Linked DNA regions of Elephas maximus indicus. The protein of the gene in region 2 interacts with the protein of the main gene of each other region in a pairwise test. Links are inferred from orthologs where the notes say so. Each region holds a gene or a part of one and is shown on either strand. Other genes may lie near its edges.

Region 1 (10,912 bases), on a different chromosome or scaffold from region 2:
CAGCATTTTAAGTGATGAAATCAATATATGGTGCTGCAATTACCACTCAAAACCCACACTGTTTAGGAAAAATGATGTTGGACAATTGGACAACTGGACAACTGCAGCTAGACTTACCATTTTTCAAGCAAAAAATCTTCAGGTTTGGTGGTGGTGGTTTCTTTTGTTTTAACTTTCAGGAAAATGCTTCCTGTGACCATTTGATAACTTTAATGATTTTCCAACTTTTCATAACTGAGACAATGCAGGCAGACTGACTTTCATTTTTATTTTTTGGTGAAAATACATGTAACAGAATAACAGACTATTTTTCCTTCAAGTACATAGGAGAAGACAACAATGCTAACAATCCTCATCTAGTCTGACAGCAATTCTACAAGTACTTACTCTGGTTAGGAACATAAAAGGTCAAGTACAACATTGCTACTAAGGTAAGAGATTATCAAGTAAGACAACAATTACATTTTTCTTTTGGAGATTATGTTCACAAGATACAGCAACAATTTCCAAAATTTTCAGACTCTACAAGGATCACATTTAGTTGAATTATATTTCTATGATTAGATCTATAGATAAACAGAGACCAGAACAAGCAAGATATATAACTAAATATTCACACAAATCTTCATACTGCATGGGAAAACAAAATCGATATTTTTGCAAACTTTCTCAATTACAAGCAAAAAGCAGGTCTGTAAACTTCAATTTTCCCAGTATGCAGAAATAGGGAAAGGAATTAACAGGATTTTACTCAGAAACGGTGACATGAGGGGCAGGTTTATCACTATCTACCACATACAAAAGGGCACTCCTAGAACAATAGAAAGAAAACATCAAGACTTGCATTTTTATTTACAAAAATCTACTGGTGAATTCAAGGAGTTAGGGAATATTGGAGGAAAACCCTCTTCCAAGCACCCTATTCAAACCCTAACCCCTCTGACTGTCCTATCCCTACCTGGGAACAGCCCCAGGGGCCTCCCCTCCCCCACAGGCCCTGCAGGTCTCCAGGCCCACTCTCCGGCAGGTGCATTCTGCTTGTGTTCAGTTTCCTAGCCTAGAGAACCTGGTGTGACCTACAAAATGTTGCCTTGGGCTTTATATCTCTAAGTAGTCCAAGGCCCAAAAGAGAATTTCCATCTTTAGAAAAATGGAGTGAAGCTAGTTTTAGTTGCCTTAAATCACATCCTGCTCTGGGTCTGTTACTTCTCTCCTCCCAGTTTCTCAAACTAAAGCTCAAGAAACCTCCAGGAGATTTGGGCGTAACAGATAAGGAAAAGGGGTGGGGTTATCAAAGTTAGCCTAAAAGAACACTGCTCATAATTAAGCAATTAACCTATAGGTCTCCCTTTGAAACTTTTAGGACTTGTTAAAGGAAATGGGGTGGAGGCATGGGGACAGAAGAGGGCACTTAGAAAGCTGAAGTCTATTTTACAGTACCTCTTTCTCCCTCTCAACACAATCAAGAGAAGAGTAAATTACACAAAAGGCCTACTTTAACAGTTTTGTTTTCTAAGTTGTAGCTGCTTTAGAGAGAGAAAGACAGGCATAACAGGCCCTGCAAGCCAGAGACACGTCTTCCTCTGTGGCACTCTTTCCATCCTGGCACCCTTGTTGTGTTCAGGGTAGGTACAGGAGGGGAGATGAGGAGGGCACCTAACAAAGTTGCCAAGATTAAGTGTGGTTTGTTGGCTGGGGCTCAGAAAGGCTGACTGCTGAAAGGGGCCCCATTCCCCTTAGCTTTGCACATTGCCACATAAGGCTGTCCAACCTGCCTAACAGCAGAGTAGGTTTATGGGTAATCATTTAAGGTTGGGGGGTGGGAAGGATGTTTGCCTGTGTGCTGGTTGGGAGCCTGGGTCCACAGATAGTACTGAGGAGGCAAACACTGGTGGCCTAGGCAAACCTTATCCAGAAAGGTGAGAGCAGGTGGGGGGGGGGGCCATAGCAGAGGCCTTCATAAACTCACCCGTAGCTGGTCACAATGCAGGGTGACGGAGGCACAGGAAAACCAATGTAAAAACATACAACACTTCTTGTCCTTTACCTCATTCATACTTAGTAGCCACCTACTAGCCACCTCCCTGTTCTGCCAGACAACCAGCAGTGTAGATGGCATGGGCCAAGGGAGGCAGCTGAAATACAGTTGATACAGGCCTGGAATGTCCAGTTTGGGTCGATGGCTGGCACCATCTATTTTAGCTTCATTTTGCAGTGGTGAAATGCAAAGCTTGCCGCAGAGCGCATGGGTATCAGGAGCACAGTCAGCATAAGGCATGAAGTCCAAATAGTTGTTTGCAAAGACCTATCAAGCTTCCTTGTGGATTTCTTGTAGATGAACACATAAAAAACTGGGAGAAGACCACAGCCACTGACAGGTTCCAAGCCATGCAGAGGAAGGCAGTGCACATCTACAGCATCATGTGCCTGGCACAAAGCGGTGGTAGGCCACGGGCTTGGAACACGTAACATGTTGCAGAAAAGCAGCGAAGGCTGAGAGGAAGCAGAAGAGCACAGACACAGAGGTGACAATCTTGCAACTGGCTGTCGAAGCTTTAGAAGAACCAAAGGACAAACCAGCATAAAGAGAAAGCAGATAAAAGTTCGCATGCTGTTGGCTAAGCACAGGTCCAAGACGAGGTGGTAAGGAAACTTGTTAAGGAGCTTCTCACAACGGCAGGAGTCAGCCAGACTGGAACCTGAAGGACAGGGGATTCTCCACTGGCTCCCTTGCTGGGCCTCGCATTCCTCTGCGGCCACCTTCACCCATCAGGTAGTACTGCAGGGGATTGGGCCACAGTTCGTCTTTGATAATCTCAGCAATCTTGTCAAATTCTTGGAGGTTGTTGTCTGAGAACCAGTTGAAGAAGCTGTGGATACTGTTTCCTTCCCGGTTCCTGTGGACGTGGGCCTGGGGGTCTTGGCCCCGGTGCCATCGGATTGGAGTGGCAAGACACACTACTCGGCCTGAGGATCTGCGCTCATATTCCTTGACGAGCGCCTCATTTCGGAAATAGGGGTTGCACTGAAAGATGAACTTGAATTTGCAGCCGGCTCTGGGGTGTTTCAGCTCCTCCAACTCCAAATTGATCATGTATTTCATCATATCTTCATCTTGGTCACTGATCATAGGTGATAGCTGGGGGTGGTTCCGAAAGGCAGTGACCCAGAAAACTGGGATATTCTGGATGATGAAGCTCCTGCGCTGCATATGGAGTCTTCGCATCCGGCCAAACTTGCGCTCCAGCTGAAGGAAGGCCCGGTCAGCCTGGGCATTTACGTTTGACAGCTCCTGATCGATGGCCTCCAGCGAGCCCGGGGAGTTACCGGTCTTCGGTACTCTGGCCGCTTTCTCCTGTTTCATCTCCCCTACAGCCTTTCTTTCCTTCTGTACCGCCTTTTCCTCCACCACCCACTCTGCTTCTCTCTTCTTTTCCGCTGCCGCTGAGATGGCGCACTTTTTAGTCGTCACTTCCTTGGCCTTCGCCCCCGCCATCATCTGAGACGCCACGCCTACTGCGCCACGGGCTTCTAGGGCCTTCTCCCCTGCAGGGCCCTGCAGCTCTTCACCAAGGTGGCCATTTTTCAGGGTGCGGTCAAACGCCACGGAGGCACAGGCGGCTTTCGGGCGTCCTGTGGGAGGTGGAGCCTTTTCCTGCCCGGCTTTGGCTGCAGCCTGGTTGCGGTTAATAGGAACTCGGAAGCGGAGCGCGAAGCCACAGTCGAAAGAACCTGCGGCGGTCCCCAAGGTGACTCCGGCCATGTCCGCCATCACCTGTGTCACATCGGATTCCCTTTGGAGCCTCCGGTACTGGCGTGGGTCCGGGTCTCCCGTGGCATGATCGGGAGTAGCGAGGTCTCGGCTTTTAGCGAAAGGGAGGTTATCGTCCCCATCCAGACCACTCATTTTGATAGAACTTAAACCAGCAAGAGGAGCGTCCCTTGTCCTTGTCCTCTCTGGAAGCCGCGCTCCTCCCCAATGAGCCCCTCGCACCACCCTTCTTTTCGTCTTTGGCTGATGCTTCCATGGCAACGGTTGACGTCAGGGCTGTCGTATCTTAAAACTTCGCGAGACCGCCTCTCTCCCCCTCCCCTATTATGCTTGTCATTCCTAGCGTATTCCTTTGTCTTCGTATTACAAAATGTGAATTTAGCCTGGAAAAAAGATTTGACTTACATAAATATAGGGTCGGAATGAGTCAGAATCGACTCGACGGCAACGGATTTGGTTTTTGGCTTTTTAAATGGAGGTAAACCAAACCCAAACAGGAACTGTGTTAATGAGGATTTCTAAGATTCAGTAGATTGTGCAATTCACAGGTCTTCCCTCCTTGTACAGATTCTTGGCTATTACCAAAGAATTGAGACATGCAGAGCTTGGTTTTTAAGAAAAGTGGAGTTTTGCTGTGTTAAGTGTGATGATAAAATTAGGAGCAGTTGAAATGGAAAGTCTGCTCATCCTAACAAGGTACAATAAAAAGATTATTTAAACCTGCCTTACAGATTTTAAAGTTTATGTACTTTGGACAACATCTATAAAGCAATTGGACAATATTTCCTCTTTTAGCTAATATGGGTTGTAAAATGTTTTTTCCTTACTTAGAGGCGGCACCCCTCCCCCCCGACACAAACACACATTTCACCCTTATTACTGAAATAAATATCATTTCAGGGTACTTTAATCTCTCAAATGTTGCATACTATATGTTGCTTATCCTCAGGTTATAATCTTCATCTAAAAGGAGTTCCTGCTGCATAATGCCTGTTGGCATGACAAAACTGGCTGCCCTCAAGTCCATTCTGACTCAGAGAGAGGACAGAATAGAACTGCCCCATAGAGTTTCCAAGGAGCGCCTGGCAGATTTGAACTGCTGACCTCTGCATTAGCAGCCGTAGCACTTAACCACTACACCACCAGGGTTTCCTGTGGGCATGAAGCTAGCAAATATTACCAATATTTGCTCTATGGTAATTCACTGCAGTAAAAAGGCAATAATCAACTGTTTGTAGCCACCTAAGCTATTAAACATCTCTTAAAATATTTGCTTATGTAAAGTAAGTTTAGCTATTAACTTTTCAAGTCAGCTCATAGAATTCGTTTGACAGTAATGTCACTACTGTCTGCTATTTGTGTTATTTGTTGGGATGTGAGAATACTGGTGTTTACCCTTAGAACAATGTAAGACCGAAGGGAAACTTAAATGTTACATATTTATGATTAATACCTTAAATTCATATTAGAGAAACAATTATAACTATTTGTAAGAGAAACTTTCTCAGGAAGCTCCCCAGATTTTGTTCACTTTCAAACACGGGCTTGGAAGAGGATCTAGTGAGAAGGATTTAGAGAGAGAAGCAATATGTATGAGACTTCTAATGAGAAACATACTCCAACTAAGGATGAGGTGCTGTTGGAAAGACACTGGCAGACACTACAAAGAAAACATCTGTCACAGTTTCATAGCTTAGCTCACAAAAGCTTTCTGGAGAATTTATAGACGTTTGAGTTTTTGTTGTGCCTCTAGTAGCCTACACAAGGACATAACTATCCAAATTGACCTCTACTGGCTGCCAGCTAATCAGTCATCCTATAAAAAATGTGCAAGCTAGAGTCATACTTCTCCAACTGTAATTACTTTTCTCTGCCCTCTTTCCATTATTAAATCTTACCTTTGAGGGGGGAAATCAATATATTGGTTTATATTCTTTGTAAACAAGTAAACAGTATGCTATAATTAAGTGTGAGACTCTGAGTCATTCTTTAGCACTGCTATGCTTCGTTTCTTTTTCTAAAGAATCTTTGAGCTGTCGAAGGAGCAATTCTTTTGGATTATAACAAGCCAAGATGCAGAGAAAAAGCAGGTGCTTACGGAAAAATTACTTTGCCATGCAGGGAAAAAAAAAAACTGTTTTCTATTTGCAACAGAAAATTATTCAATTATGTAGGGCTACTAACTGTGAACTTTTTTCTCTTGATGTATATATTAAAATTTTAAAAACATTTATATCTCTTGTTCGGTGCTGACGAGTCAGTCCTGACTCATAGTGACCCTATGTACAACAAAATGAAACACTACTCCTGTGTCATCCTAACAATCATTATTATGCCTGAGCCCATTGCTGCAGCCACTGTGTCAGTCCATCTCATTGACAGTCTTCCTCTTTTTTGATAACCCTCTACTTTACCTACAATGATGTCCATTTCCAGGGACTAGTCCCTCCTGATAATATCCAAAATACATGAATTGAAGTCTCGCCATCCTCGCTTCTAAGGGGCATTCTATTTGTGCTTTTCAAGACAGATTTGTTCCTTTTTCTGGCAGTCCATGGTATATTGAATATTCTTTGCCAACACCATAATTAAAAGGTGTCAGTTCTTCTTCCGTTTTCTTTATTCATTGTCCAGCTTTCGAATACATATGGAGCAACTGAAAATACCATGGCTTATATCTCTACTGCTTGAAATATCCCTGTTCGTAGCTTTGGCCGAGACGTACATGGGGTCGCCACAAGTTGGAATTGACACGACAGCAACAGGTTTCTTTTTTTTAGTTTTAGCTTTGACTAATCCTGTCACTTGAATCACTTTCCACTCATGACACCCTGTCCATTTTTTAAAACTCATCGCAAGTCTACCTCATATAGATTGTAGTAGGCATTTTAAATGCATTTAATTTCATAAGCAAGGACCTAGGAAGCTCAGAGAGGTTAACTGGCCCGTAGTTATATATATATATTAATTGGCAGTTTTTTTTTTTTCCATCTCCTATGTTCCTTAACCATCTTACCATCCTGATAGTCCTCTGAATTTCTATAGCTCTTATGACTTTTGCCAACCAATTTGGTATGTATGTGTTCTCTACTTTTTAACTTTGTTGGTTGTTTCATACGGGTCAGGCTCATCCCAGCTAGATAAGGAGCTGCATAGAAGTTTCTTCTTTAGCCCAGTGACTGTCTCATGGAAGGTCAAGCAAGAATTTTCTTTGGCAGGTGTCTTCTTGTTACTTTGAGTGGGGATCCAGAATCTGACTCGACTGGGAAATTTCCAGTGCTTCTGTGAGGCCTCTATTGAGCGCTTGTTTGGAGTTTGGTCTTCTTTATCCATATTTCATTTTAATTTTGATCATCTTCTTTTGTTGAGATCTCATTTGATTTTTGGTCTGTTATTTTGGCACCTCCCTTCACTTTTTTTTTTTTTTTTTTCTTCACTATGGGAAATTCTGATTTTCCTTCTTCCTCCAACATTACTGCCACTGTGGCAGTCATTCTGTCTAGTATCTCCAAAAATGGTCAGCTTTTACTAATGCAATTTAGAACTTCAGTTGCCTTTTTTGGGAAACTTGAGATCTTCACAAACTAGCTCATCTAAGACCGCTCCCTTCCCATCACTCTCCCTTATTCCTTTTTCCTTTTTCCCACCATCAACCTTCCCTTCAGCTCCCTTGAATCCTTTATCTGCCCCCCTTTAGTACTCCTACTTCTTCCAACCTTCTGTTAACCCCTGTCAGACCTTTCCCTTCCCACTCCATCCCCTTCACACTGCATATGTGTAACAGACTGGCCTTCCCCCAACAATCCCTTATACCCCTTCTTCCCTGAACCTCCTGCTCCACTCTTTGAATTTTCCTTTACAACCCAGTTCATGGACCACCTTCTCTTCAGTCCAATAAACCACTGTAGCAAGGTGCTCAGGGACCCCAAAAGCAACCATCTAAGGCTGAAAAGTTAACTGGAAACAAACTGGATACTTTATTCATCCGAATGGACTTTGGAAACACCCAGTCAGTTGGTGTCTCTGAGTTTCTACCTAAAATTTAATCCACAGCTTCCCTAAAATTATACAATAGTGCAAGAAAATCTTAAAGTCATCTCTACAAATATTTGTGGGGAAGATTTACCCCTCATATTGACTGATAACACCAACCTGTCCCATCTGCCAGAAATAAAGTTTTAGTAAAAATATAAAGGTGGAGTAGGAACTAAAGTCAGCTGTTTTATATAAACCTGTGAGTTTTATACTTTGGTGTTTATGCCTAATTCATGGCTGAAATTTTAAAGATATAAGCTCTATAGTTGTATCTGTCAGCATGTTTTTTATATATATATATATGTATATACGTATAATACATTCCTACCTCTGAATGGTATTACCAAAATTAACTTATAAAATTCCTTCAAGGAGCTCTATTTTAATTTAGAGATAAATAAGCACTTATATAAACATTTGTTTGTTAGCAGCAGTTGAGTTGGCTCTGGACTCATGGTGACCCTGTTTACAACAGAAGGAAACATTATCCAGTTTTGTGCCATCCCCATGATTGCACAATTGCAGATCAGACTGTTGTGATCTGTAGAGTTTCCATTGGCTGATTTTTTTAAGGAGATCACCAGGCCTTTCTTCCTAGTCTGTCTTGGTCAGAAGGATCCATGGAAACCTGTTCAGCATCATAGCAACTTGCAAGCTTCCACTAACAGATGGGTGGTGGCTGTGCATGAGGTGTGTTGGCTTTGAATCGGACCCAAGTCTTCTGCATGGAAGGTGAGAATTCTACCACCGAACCTCCAGATGTGCCATACTTTATGTAAATTAACATTGATAACTCAGAAGACAGCTGTTTATATTAAACAAACAATAGTAAACTAGTTTGTCACAGATTCACCAAAATTACATGAACTTGAATTTTTAAAACATTTGGGTTAGTTTTCATAGGAGTACCCCCCCCGCTTTTTTTTTTTTTTTTACTTTGGAAGTATCAGAAGTTCAGTTTTCTTAATTTCTGAGAGTTTTGGGGTATTCGACTGATAATACTCAACAAAATTAAGGGAACCAACTCTTCTCACTTCTGAAAGAGTTAGGTTAATAGCCATGGTACCTCCTATATGTACTTTTAAAATCTTTTATTATCACTCTGGTTAAGTCGGTAGTCAAGTATTCTTTCTCCATAGCCATGAACCTATTTAATCAAGTATTCAAACCTCGTGTTAGCTTTTGGCATTTTGTCTTTCCAAAATCTAATCCTAAATAATATCTTTTGCACCTAAAACTCTGAAAAATCATAAAGGATTTGTCCCTTCACCTTGTAAAAAAGAAAGGTACTACAAATAATAAGGCGTATTTGATAGGTTATGAGTTTCATGGGAAGCATTGTCAAACGAGAGATGTTTAACTTTCCCTAGGTTAAATTTATATGGACAACATGTTATTAATGTATTTTCAGAAATTGTGTGAACTTTCTAGAGATTTTTCAGTGCTCTTCCTGTCCATGATATGCCCTGGTTCTGCTTTGCCTCATGTTAGACAATAATAATGTAATCTGTCATAATTTCAACTTCTAAAATGTCGCATGTCACAGAAATACTGTATTTTTATGCAAATAGTGTGTGACTTCTATGTTTGCCAACTACTCCCTCACCCCTTAAGGTATTTTCCTAAGTGCGCTATTCTAATTTTTGTTATAAAACCAAAAACCAAACCCATTGCCATCCAGTCGATTCCGATTTATAGCAGCACTATAGGACAGCATAGCACCGTCCCACAGAGTTTCCAGGGAGCGCCTGGTGGATTCGAACTGCCAACCTTTTGGTTAGCAGCTGTAGCACTTAACCACTACTCTACCAGGGTTTCCAATTTTGCTATAGCACATGTAAAAAGAATTGGCATAGTGGAGCTTACCAAAATACCTTGCGGGGGAGGGAGCAATTGGTAAACAAATGTAGAAGGCACGCATTATATGTGTAAAAATACACTAACCAAATTTCCCTGTCTTTTACATTATTTTTGTAATGGACTCTCATCAGATCTTTCACTTTTGAAAATTATCAGTAATAAGTTAACCACGGCCATTTTAAGTCTTTTGTCCACTACATATATTTTTGTTTTACTCTGATGCTTCCCTGAAAATACTTGCAATCAGCTATAGGTCAGAGTTCTTTGTCTTCAACAAGAAGAGACTATCTCAGAGACTTATAGAAGGAACTATGCCAGGTACTGTTGGGCACAGGCTTCTGATAGCATTGATTAATAACCTTGAGACCATCCTGTTGGACTGAATCAGGATTTCCAGAACTCTAGTGGAGAATGGGGGACGGTGGTGGTTCAGTGGTAGCATTTTCACCTGCGAGACCTGGGTTTGATTCCTGGCCAATATACCTCTATCACAGTCACCACCATCCATCTGTCAGTGGAAGCTTATGTGATACTGTGATGCTGAAACAAAGGCCTGCTGATCTACTTCTGAAAATCAGCCATTGAAAACCCTTTGAATCTCAACAGTTTGATCCTGTTGTGCAGGGGGTCACCATGAGTAGGGGCCAACTCAATGGCCGCTAACAAGTGGAGAAGCTGATGGGTTCATGAAATTGCTAACACAAGATCACACAAAAGAAGAATTAACTGCATGGGAATGAATGAACTGATGAAGGATGATTATGGATTTGGTTTCGAATATTGCGGATGTTTTAATGTTCTGTTTTCTAGATATAAGGAACTCCTTTCTCTTTTCTCTCAAGCTATCTATAACCCATTACAATTGCGTAGACTGTGCTTTTGTAAACAGAAATGAAATATTTGTCTTTTTCTCCCTGCTTCATCCCTCTAGAATTTGGAAACCATTATTGAATATTCTTATTTTTATGGCAATGTAATTATTTGCATTACTTCAGTAAGACTCTGTCCTCCCTGTTAATCAGATGTAACTGGAAACATTGGTTATATAATAAAAGTTTGACGGGAATGTCACATTTGAGAATGGTGCTCATAGGATCAGATATGACCAAATGCTTTTTAAGGAACTAAGGTTGACTTTATGGGGCTGTCTTAGTCATCTAGTGCTGCTATAACAGAAATACCACAAATGGATGGCTTTAAAAAAGAGAAATTGATTTCCTCATGGTAAAGTAGGCTAAAAGTCCA
Region 2 (10,406 bases):
GAGTCTGGATTCAGGTCATAGGGATTTGGGCTGAATGTGTGGGGAGGAGGCAGCCATACTTGCACTCACATCTATAAGGCAGGTGCCTCCTAACAAGGCTTGTCTTACCGCGTCTTCTTCCACCTGCTCAGGAGGTGCCTCAAGGTGTGGCCGCTCCACCACAGAGGGCTCTGTCCCCGTTCTCCATTCATACACTGTTGAGTTTCCTCGCTTCTGCACGTATCTCAGCATTGGCAATACCTGCTCTGTGGGGCTTCAAGAGATCACATAACAGACCCTCCTGCTGACCATGCATGAAGCCAACACTGGGCTTTGACCTGGGCTATGTGGTCAAATGGGCAAGACTCTCACTGAATTTAAGTGTGTAAAATAAAGCTCAAATGTCACCTGGGAAAAATACAAGTGGGGAAGAGAGAATGGCCGGGAAAACAGGTAAACTGCCCCTCCTGCTAGAGGGAAATTGAGGCCCTCATTACCATTCACACACAAAGCCCACGCAGGCCTGGTACAAGTCGATGGCTTCCCCCAGAGACTGAGCCGCTGCTCCAATGTCAGCCAGCTGACTCGGCAGGTCCTTCACCAGGGCCAGCAGTTCTCTTCGGACATTGTCTCCCTAAAGGGGGCAGAAGAGTCGGGCCGTGGCAGAGTGGTAGAAGGTAGAGTCCAAGAGATCAAAGGAAACATCAAAAGACAGCAACAGGCCAGATAGTAGCCCAAGAAGAGCACAACTTGAGCTGAGAAGGGAGTTCTTCCCAGCAGTTAAGGAGCTGGGGCCTCTTAGACTAGACTGGTCCCAGGAAGGCAGACAGCCCGGGTGCTCCATACCCCAACGAGACCCTCTGGCTTGCTCACCGTGATGCCGTACTGCTTACAGGAGTGGTAGAACTGCTCCCGCATCTCGGCGGCCCCCGCCTGGCCCTCCTCCTCCTTGCGGTTGTACTCCTGCTGTAGCTGCTGGCACTTGGCAATCTGCTTCTTCAGTGAGGGGATCTCATAGTTGACATTCCGAACCAGGAGGCTAGAGAGTTCCACTAAGAAGGGCCCAGGAAATACACCTCAGGCCAACCACACCAAAAGGCCAGCATGCCCCAGGACACACAAATGCCCTCGTGGTGGTGAAGGGCATGGGGCTGCCTTCCCAGCTGCTGCCTTCCTAGCTGTGGAACCTAAAACCAGTCATTTAACCTCTCTGGTCCATTCCTCATCTGTAAAACAGGGACATTAATATTACAAGACCCATAATACCTATCGTGAGGAGTAAAAAAGGAAATCCATGCAAAATACCAAGCACAACTCCTTACATATAATGGGTGCTCAGTAAAATATTGGCTGCTATTATTGTTATTACTTATACTATTACAAAACATAAGCCGAACCACAATCAGCCCTTTATTGCTCCCTGTCAGGTGCGAGATGGTGGTCCCCAAGATGGCGCATGACTCTTCTTCCCACAGGACAGGGATGGGGGCACTCCACTCTATCTCACACCCCTACTCAGGCCTACCTACTCTGCTTCCTTTTCCTCCCCTGCCCCCAAGAGGCAACATCTACACCCCTGCCTCTTCCCAGACACCAGCTGTGCCTTCTATAAACCTGGTGTCCCAGAACCCTTGGAGTGGGTGGGTTTCCCCCCAGTCACCAGGACTGGGCCACTTTACCTAAGTAAGTGTTGTCCTTCTCATACAGGGCTACAATCTCCTGCCAATCCTGAGTAGGAAGAGAAACAGGAAGTGAGCCAGAAAAGCACTCTGCAGTCATATCCCAGCTCAATCCCTCAGCAGGGGAAGCCCTCCCAGTCTTCACATCAAACATAAACTCCTTGTCCTCCTTCAACTCCTAAAACGCTGGCTGGACCACCCACTTTAAGAGCATGGTGCCAACAAGTGATCCCCAAAGTGGCAGGTCTGAAAATGTCAACCCAGGGGGTAGGATCTACTTTTGGCATGAGCTATGGGGACACAGGGATAGTTGAGGAAATATTCTAAATCAGAGTCTCCCACCAGATCCTCAGAAAAACTAGAGAGGCTCTAAATCCATAGGCTGGAGGTCACTAGCTGCCCGTTCCCAGCCCTCAGCCCACACTCGCCTTCATTCGTTGTGAAGAATACCGGCCAAAAATATTTTTCGTGGAAGCCTCAGTGCCCTTAAGAAGGTCCACAATTCTCAGGCAGTGGAAGTAGTGAATGTCTGGGAAGCAAAGAAGAGTGACAACTTTGAGAATTCCAATTTAAGAACTTCCCACCTGCTCTGACAACAACATGGCGTGTGGCTGATTCATGTGAACTGCCAGTTAATGATGAACATGCACAGCTCTCCCTTTTTACTATTTTGTGTTGGAAGAAACCATCATTTATACCCCAAACAAAAATCTTTCTGGGGGTCAGCCCAGTGCTTAAGAACAGGGGAGCAGCTCAGCTGACACATACTGTTCTGGGAAGCAGGGACTCCAGCAATGTAGCCCCAAAGCACTCACAGGATCCTGAGAGTAGCTGGGCGATCTCTTCGTTCTCTGGCATGTCCTGGATGGCAGCATTGATCTTCTCTCGGATTGTCAGCACCAGACCTTGCCATTTCAGGTTGCAGTGCCTTCTGTCCACCAGCCAGTCTATACGAAAAACACCCAAATCACAGCATTCCCACTCCCACCACCAAAACCCATCACTAATCCAAGTGGAACAGGCTGAGGCACTGGGTGCGGGTTTTCTTCATACTGGTTAAGCTATAGGGGTCATGGGAGAATGAGAGTCAAGACAAACCCAAAGGGATGCTTGGGGCTGAATAGACTCCAGCAACCTGACTTCATCCTCAGGGTGATTTTTATAGAGGAACTGCCTTGACACAGGGATTAAAAAATAAAAACCAAAACTTTAAATTGATCCTGACATGAAAGTGCCATTTCTGACACTCTAAAGTCTTCATAATATTTTTGCTTCTATGGGTAATTATATCTTTCTTGCTAAAAGAGGATGCTGTTCAACTTCCACTTCCTCAGGGCTGGGATTAACCATGACAATGGAAAATACAAGACGGTTATGCTAACTACCGGATGAATGAACAACTGTAAAGCCCCTAATACCTCTAGCGCCCCAAGGACTAGGTAACACTCATCTATGCTTAACAGTGAAGTGCCACCCTGCACATGAGAATACCAACGTGACTGGCCTCCCGGAGTTTGAGCCCAGATTTGTATTTTTAGTGGAAGGTACGGGTGGATCAAGGAGTCCTGGTGGCACAACTGCTAAGCACTTGGCTACTAACCAAAAGCTTGGTGGTTCGAACCCACCTAGTGGCTATGTGGGAAAGACCCGGTAATCTGCTTCCATAAAGATTACAGCCAAGAAAACCCTATGGGGCAGTTCTACTCTGTCACATGGGACTACTATGAGTTGGAACCAACTCAAGGGTACCTAACAAGAATATGGGTGGACCGAGAGTCATGTACACGTTTCCTAAATAGGAGACAGCTATTGTGGTGAGATGGTCCTAGACTCTAATTCTCTAATTTCTTGGGCAAGCCTCTCAAACCTCTCTGTGCCTCAGTTTCCCCACATGGAAAATGGGGATAATGAGATACTGAATACAAGGAGTCATGTAGGTAAAACACTCACCCTTATGCCTAGCACACGGCAAGGACTCAAGAAATCTTAGTGATCCTCATTTTTATAATGTCAAGTACCTAAAACAGTGCCTGGCATAGAACAAAACCTCAATGAATGGCGGCTGTTTTATTGGTCCATTTCATAACCAACAGTAAGCTCATACACCAAGGTACACACGTGCTGAAGAGCTGCGACAAATGTGAAACGAAGCTAAAGACCACTGCACAGGACAAACTAAAGGGCACGTATAGTGTTGAATCCCAGATGCTGGCCCGGAACTGTTAACTAAATCAGCCACTGGTCAAACACTGGAGTCCCATTCTAGTATGAGTTATATTTCCTCTCCTGTATTTCTCAAGTTTCCAGAAAGAATAATTCTACAGATGTCACAGGACTAGAATCAAATGGTTGAGATAGTCAGACACCCTCTTAAGGACAAGACTGGCATCAAATCTATCAATCCAATAAACATTTAAAAATGGCAACAGCTGAGCAAAGGCTTGGAACAGAAGGAAGAGGTCCTTCCCCTGCTCTGAACTGGGAGGAGGCATGTGGACCACATACAGACAGCGGAGAGATGGCCTAGCCACTACAAGGTCTTATTTCCAACTGGGTCTTACGCCCCTCGATGCATAAAATCAAGGGGAGATGGAAGCTTGTAAGAAGAAAGGAGGGAAAGCTTTCTTCTGGCATAATATAACAATGCATGGTCATCAGGGCCAGACAGATTGAAGTGCCAACTTCGGGTCTGCCACTTAGTAGACGGATGTCTTTAAGGCAAGACGTTTACCCTCTCTGTACCGAAATGATACGTTTTGATGACATATGTTAAAACAGAAAACGCAAGTCAAGTGCTGGACTCTACGTTTGGTTCCTTCCCATTCCTCTTAGCGAGGCAGGTATGATCATAGGTGACGCACAGAAGCTGGCTTGGCTAGTGGTCAGTGCCTCAACCATCAGGAGTCAGGACTCCTGGCTGTTGGCGGCGACTGGGGGCAAAGAACCGGGCCTCCCCGCCCCCGACAGCCGGCTGCGCGGAAGCACTCCCTCCTACCGAGCAGCTTGCTGGTCTGGATGTCGATGGGCACGTGCTGATGTTCCTAACGGGAAACACAGCGGGGAGGGGGGCGTAAGTGCCGAGAGGGGACACGCCACTCGCGCGCTCATTTCACGGTTCCAACCGCCACCCTGCAGGACCCTGCAGGACTGGAACAATGGGCCAGGGAGGGTCGCGCCCGGGGACGAGGCCGGGGGAGCGGGTCGGGGACGGACACCGTCGAGGGGTCCCAGGCCAGACCCTCACTCCCCCATCAACCGTACCGCCACCTGCATCTCTCCGCCACTTCCGCTTCCGGCCAGGAGACCCAAGCCAGCCACGCCCCACCACCAATCCTGTGGCGGTGTGCCTGATCCTCGGTGTTGGCACAAACAGGCCTCCTTCGGCCACGTCACCGCCTTCCGCAGAACCAATCGGGGCGCATGCTCCACCCCTGGCCCCAAGCCCCACCCCCCGGCAGACTCCAAATGGCTGAGCCCGAGAGGGGCGGGAGAACGGGAAGCAGCCAATGGGAGACGCGAGGCGGGCTCAGGACCGGGGCGGGGCGGGGAGCCTGAAAAGGGCTGCAGCGGCTGCACGATTGCGACAGGCGGCGTCCGAGAGCCGACCCCGGCCGCTTCCACCTGAGGAGGGCGCTGAGATGTTTTCGCAGGAATTAATAAGTCGGTACTCGAGGTCCTAGCGCCGACCGACCGGTCCCACTAATTCTCTTCCCCCCACCTTGCCTTGCTTTACTGTCTATAGTAGTATGAACATCTCCTGTGGCACTTGTCACATTTGTCTTTCCATTCAGTTTATCTAATAGAGATGTTTAACTCTGGCTATGTGTGTTGGGCGATGAAGGCTGAGAAGAGGGAGAGAGGAGGGTTAGGGGGAGCATCTCAAAGATAACAACTAAACTGAGTCTTAAAGGAAGAGCTGCAGAATAGGCGGTTCATAGGAAGGGTTGTCTAGGGTGAGGAGACTGCACAGACAAAGCTTTGGAGCCAGAGACTGCAAGAGGGGTGCAAGGAACAACACATGGCATGATCTGCAACATAATTTGGGGGGCCCAGTGCAAAGCCCCTTGTTCAACAATTATTAAGAACCAAGCAGAGCATTAAACTGAGTGCAGGACTCTGTGTGACTACATGAGTGCCCTTCCGGTGAAGCCAGCCTCCCTGCAGTAAAAAAGTTAGAGGTAGGGCGAGGCCTGAGATAAGACTGTAAAGGTGGAAGGGTCAAATCATAGAGAAACCTTGTTAAGGAACTTGGACTTCACCCCCTGCAGTCAGAGAGGAAACACGGAAGGGCTTTAAGGGTTCCAGGCAGAGGGACCTACACAGATTGGCATTCTTGATAGATCTCTCTAATGGCGGCAAGGAGGAGTAATTCCTGGGAGACATGTCTGGAGACAGGGAGACTGTCAGGAGGTTATCTAGAGGTTAGGGCCCAAACTCGGCCAGAGCCATGGGGAGGAGGAGAAGTGCTGGATGTGAGAGATGTTTAGGAGGAAAACGGACACCAGCTTGGCAATTGATAGGCTAGGGGTAGAGTGGGAGAGAGAGACACCAAAGATGACACTTTGGGTGGAGCGGGAGTGCCACCTCTTGTGATAGGGATGCAGGATGCAGAGCAGGTGTTGGAGAGGAGGGAATCTCAGCTTTGAACTTGCAGGGTTGGTGGTGTTGGGAGACCACCAAGTGGAAAGTGTGCAGAAGGCAGTTGGGTTTACAGGTCTGGAGTCACTGATGCTCGCAGGGGCAAATTAACCAGTAAGCAAGATACACACTGGCCACAGTAAGCAAGGTACACACAAACTTAATTGTGTTTACTTACTAACCTGTGGTGAACAATTTCACATGGGTTTCACCATGTCCTTGATGGGTTCCTGCCCAGTGAGATCCTGGACCACTTCCAAAACCTCTCAGATAACCACCATCTCCTCAACTGCAGCTTGGCAATAGCACCTATCCTGACTATCTCAGGGTATTTCTCTTTATTGGCTTAAAGAAAGAAATACATTAGATGTACATAATTCTTTGCAGTTCACAATATACTTTAGACAGAGTTTCTCATGCTTTGTAAACTATATGTATATGTGTGTGTACATATATAAAAAACATTATACATATAATTATTATTGTAGAATGGGCTGACAGACAGTGATTCCCTATCCCCAGCTTCCCTGAAGAAGGCTCACAGGGCAGAAGGAAGGCCTCTTCAGGGTTCTCTCATGGACTTTAGCTCCGTTCTCAGAGTCCTGACTCAGGCTATAGGAATTGCTTGGGCTCCCGCATGATTCAACAAACACTTGGCTCCAGCTGTGTGTTCTGGGCTCTCTGGGACAACCCAAGGAGCATGACACCGCCCCACCCTCAAAGCGCGTCTTTCCTCCTTGAACCAACAGACTGGGCAGAGCCGGGCAGGGTGGGTCTTCTAGACCCACCCTGGTGAGGCGGTGGAGGCAGAGACTGTTGGCACTTCACCCCAACCCACAGTCTCCCCAGGTGACTCACATGGGGCAGAATGATGTTCCAGAGCAGTTCTCAGCTGTCAGCCTCAGGGAGGCAGCCCCAGAGAGCACAGGAGCATGGGCTTTGGGCTTTCTTTTTCCAAGGCCACAGGGAATTCCAGGAGCTTGTGGGCGGAGAAGGCCCAGGGCTGCTGTCTGGGGAGGGGCAGCCCTGTAGGGAGGTGGGGAAGGACATAACCAGGGCTGTGCCAGCTTTGGATGGGAAGCACAGAGCCCCAGGAAGCTTCCTTATTAAGTGATAACCACGTACTGGTGTAGAGCTAACTACTTTTACAAGCCTTATCTAATTTGATCCTTCCAACACACTTGTAATGTGGATACTGTTATTAGCCAGATTTTAAAGGCAAGAAAGCCAAAGCTTGGCTAGTTAAGTAATTTGTCCAAGGTCATATCGCTGGTAATTGGTGGGGCTGGGATTCAGACTCAGGCCTGTCTGTCTTCCCAGCCTGCATTCTTGCTCCCTGAAATGAGCCTTTGTTTATCCTGCCCCATTCACTCTGTTAGCCACAACAGTCCCAGTTCTCCCCTCTTGGCCTTTGCCCTGAGTCCCACTTTCTCCCCAGTTGTACCAGACACTTGGAAACCGTCCCCCTACCCAACAGTCTCTGCCCCTTTTTCCAAAGTCCTTTCTTACCACACCTGATCCTGGGCGATCATTACTTATCCTCATGCAAGATCCATAAAGAGAGGGCTTACCTTTGACATACAAATAAGCCACTTCTTTTGTCCGTGATATATATAGTATTTTATGGTCTGTATGTCTCCTGCGTGTCTGCTTGTGGCCACATGGGCTGTATGTATGTGTGTGTGTGTATTTATCTGCCTGATGGGCTAGAAGCCCCGGAAACACAACAGCCTAGTCTGGATTTCTTGTTGTTTGAAGTGTAATCTCTCTGTGTGTGGGTTTTTTTTTTTTTTTTTTTTTCCCTCATTCTATCTTCCCACCTAGTCTGTGAACCACTTGTGGCAGGGCGTTCGGTTTTGCTCATCTCTGTAACCCCAGCCCCTGCGTGATACCTGAAGTTGAGTGATGCTTAGTGGATGCTTTTAAAGAAAGGAGCAGGAAAAGGTGCAGCCGTGAGCAGGGAGGCATTTAATGATGGTCGTGGTCATGATGAATGGGGACCATGATGATTTGGACTGGAAGGTCTGGGCATGGGCTGGGGGTCGGGGGGAAGTTCCCCAGCCCCTTTCCTCCCTGAGCCTCTTGGGACCAAAGGGAAGAAATCAGACCTGGCTGGCTTGAGTTAAGCACACACCAGTGAAGGCCTATTTGAGGCCAGTCAGCTGGGTTGTGCTCCAGGGCCACTGAATGCTCCCTTCTCCCTGGCCAGCCATGCCTTCCAGGTCCTTTCAGCATTGTTAGTCTTCTGGGGAGTAACAGCTCACTGGGTGGCCTCATGAAATGGATCAGATGTGCCATCTTCGAAGGAGACACTGCATTTCATTCTCTCATCATCCTTGTCACAGTGGGTGAGGGGATCTGCTCTTCCAGGAGAAGGAAAACCAAGTCCGTGGCCAAATGACCCATCTATCTGCCTTCTTTCTATGCAGTTCAATGTTGTGTACCCTCTATTTGCCAAGCACTGTCTTCCAGGGTGCTGGAGACCTTAACAAGAAGACATAGTCCCTGTCATTAAGGGAAGTATGATGTGTGAAGATACCACCATGACAGCAGCCCCAGAGCCCAGCACTATGTTCATACATGGTAGGTGATTTAAAAAAAATTCCATACAAACCAAAAAAGTGATATACTCAGATGCTCAGGGAGCTGAAAGGAGGAGTTTCTGACTCAAACTGGAGGTAAAGGCATGGGATGGGGGTGGAAAAACATCAGAGCTACCTCCTGGGAGAAGTAGCACTTGGATTGCATCTTGCAGGAATGGTATGAATTGTGGTAGAAGGGAGAGGAGCAAGGGGGGGGGGGTGCAGGGGATGAATAATGGTCATCATTCTGAGAAGAGGGAATAAAATGTATAAAGCATAGAGATAAGTGAGAGCATGGCTATTCCTGAAGAAGTTTATTCTGGGAACACAGGATGCTTAAGGGGAGATTGGAGAGAATTTATTGTGAAGAGTGTGTCTATCAGGGTTCTAAATAGGATATCTATACGTATAAAGGAAACACTAGTGGCGTAGCGGTTAAGTGCTATGGCTGCTAACCAAAATGTCGGCAGTTCAAATCCACCAGGTGCTCCTTAGAAACTCTGTGGGACAGTTCTACTCTGTCCTATAGGGTCACTATGAGTCGGAATTGACTCGACAGGACTGGGTTTGGTTTGGTTTTTCGTATCTATAAAACCGTTACCATGGAGCTGATTCCAACCCATGGTGATCCCATGTGTGTCAGAGTAGACCTGTGCTCCACAGGGTTTTCAATGGCTGATTTTTTAGGAAGTAGATCATCAGGCCTTTCTTCCAAGGCTCCTCTAGGTGGACTTGAACATCCAACCTTTTGGTTAGCAGCTGAGCATGTTAACTGTTTATACCATTCAGGGACTCCCCCTGTATCTACCTGTCTGTCTATCTATCCATCTAGATTTAGCTGTATTGTATATAGGTAGACAGATAAATAGATAGATATTTTGATAGATAAATAGGTAGATGTTGCCGTTGTTGTTAGCAACCCAATGTGATGGAGTAAAACTGCCTCGTAGGGTTTCCTAGGCTGAAAACTTTACAGGGGCAGATTGCCAGGTCTTTCTCCTGTGGAGCAGCTGGATGGGTTCAAACTGCCAACCTTTTGGTTAGCAGCTGAGCACTTAACCATTGCACCACCAGGGCTCCTTAGATAGACAGACAGACAGATAGATAGATAGATACATGCATATTTATATACCTTTATATCCATCTATCTATCTGGAGATTCATTTTAAGGAATTGGCTTATGCAATTGTGGTGGCTGGCAAGTTCAAAATTTGTAGGGCAGGCCAGCAGGCTGGAAACTCAATCAGGCGTTGACGATACAGTTTGAGGCAGGACGTCTCCCAGAAACCTCAGTTGTTTTGCTCTTAGGGACTTCCAACTGATTGGATGAGGCCCATCCGTATAATAGAGAGTAACCTACTTCACTTAAATTCAACTGATTGTAGATGTTAAACGTATCTACACAACACATTTACAGCAATACCTAGATTAGTGTTGGATTAGATAACTGGGTCCTATTACCTTAGCCAGGCTGACACATAAAACTCACCATCCCAGAGAGGTTGCAAGGGGAGACCATGAAGAGCCC

The links. The genes of interacting proteins can lie anywhere in the genome.
Region 1: the proteins of CDK5RAP3 (region 2) and TSPYL4 interact in binary tests that used the Homo sapiens proteins (3 or more experiments, as listed by UniProt). The two-hybrid records come from large-scale screens. The link is inferred for Elephas maximus indicus from reciprocal best matches to the Homo sapiens genes CDK5RAP3 and TSPYL4.

The regions. Positions count from the first base shown.
Region 1 is NC_064819.1:182,860,890-182,871,801, forward strand, and holds TSPYL4 (testis-specific Y-encoded-like protein 4), read right to left. Parts: upstream 4,237-10,912; 5' UTR 3,908-4,236; coding exon 2,684-3,907; 3' UTR 254-2,683; downstream 1-253.
Region 2 is NC_064837.1:45,516,080-45,526,485, forward strand, and holds the start of CDK5RAP3 (CDK5 regulatory subunit-associated protein 3), read right to left. Parts: upstream 5,024-10,406; 5' UTR 4,932-5,023; coding exon 4,920-4,931; intron 4,700-4,919; coding exon 4,654-4,699; intron 2,606-4,653; coding exon 2,474-2,605; intron 2,188-2,473; coding exon 2,087-2,187; intron 1,708-2,086; coding exon 1,659-1,707; intron 1,032-1,658; coding exon 853-1,031; intron 614-852; coding exon 477-613; intron 254-476; coding exon 109-253; intron 1-108. UniProt on the Homo sapiens protein: Substrate adapter of E3 ligase complexes mediating ufmylation, the covalent attachment of the ubiquitin-like modifier UFM1 to substrate proteins, and which is involved in various processes, such as ribosome recycling and reticulophagy (also called ER-phagy).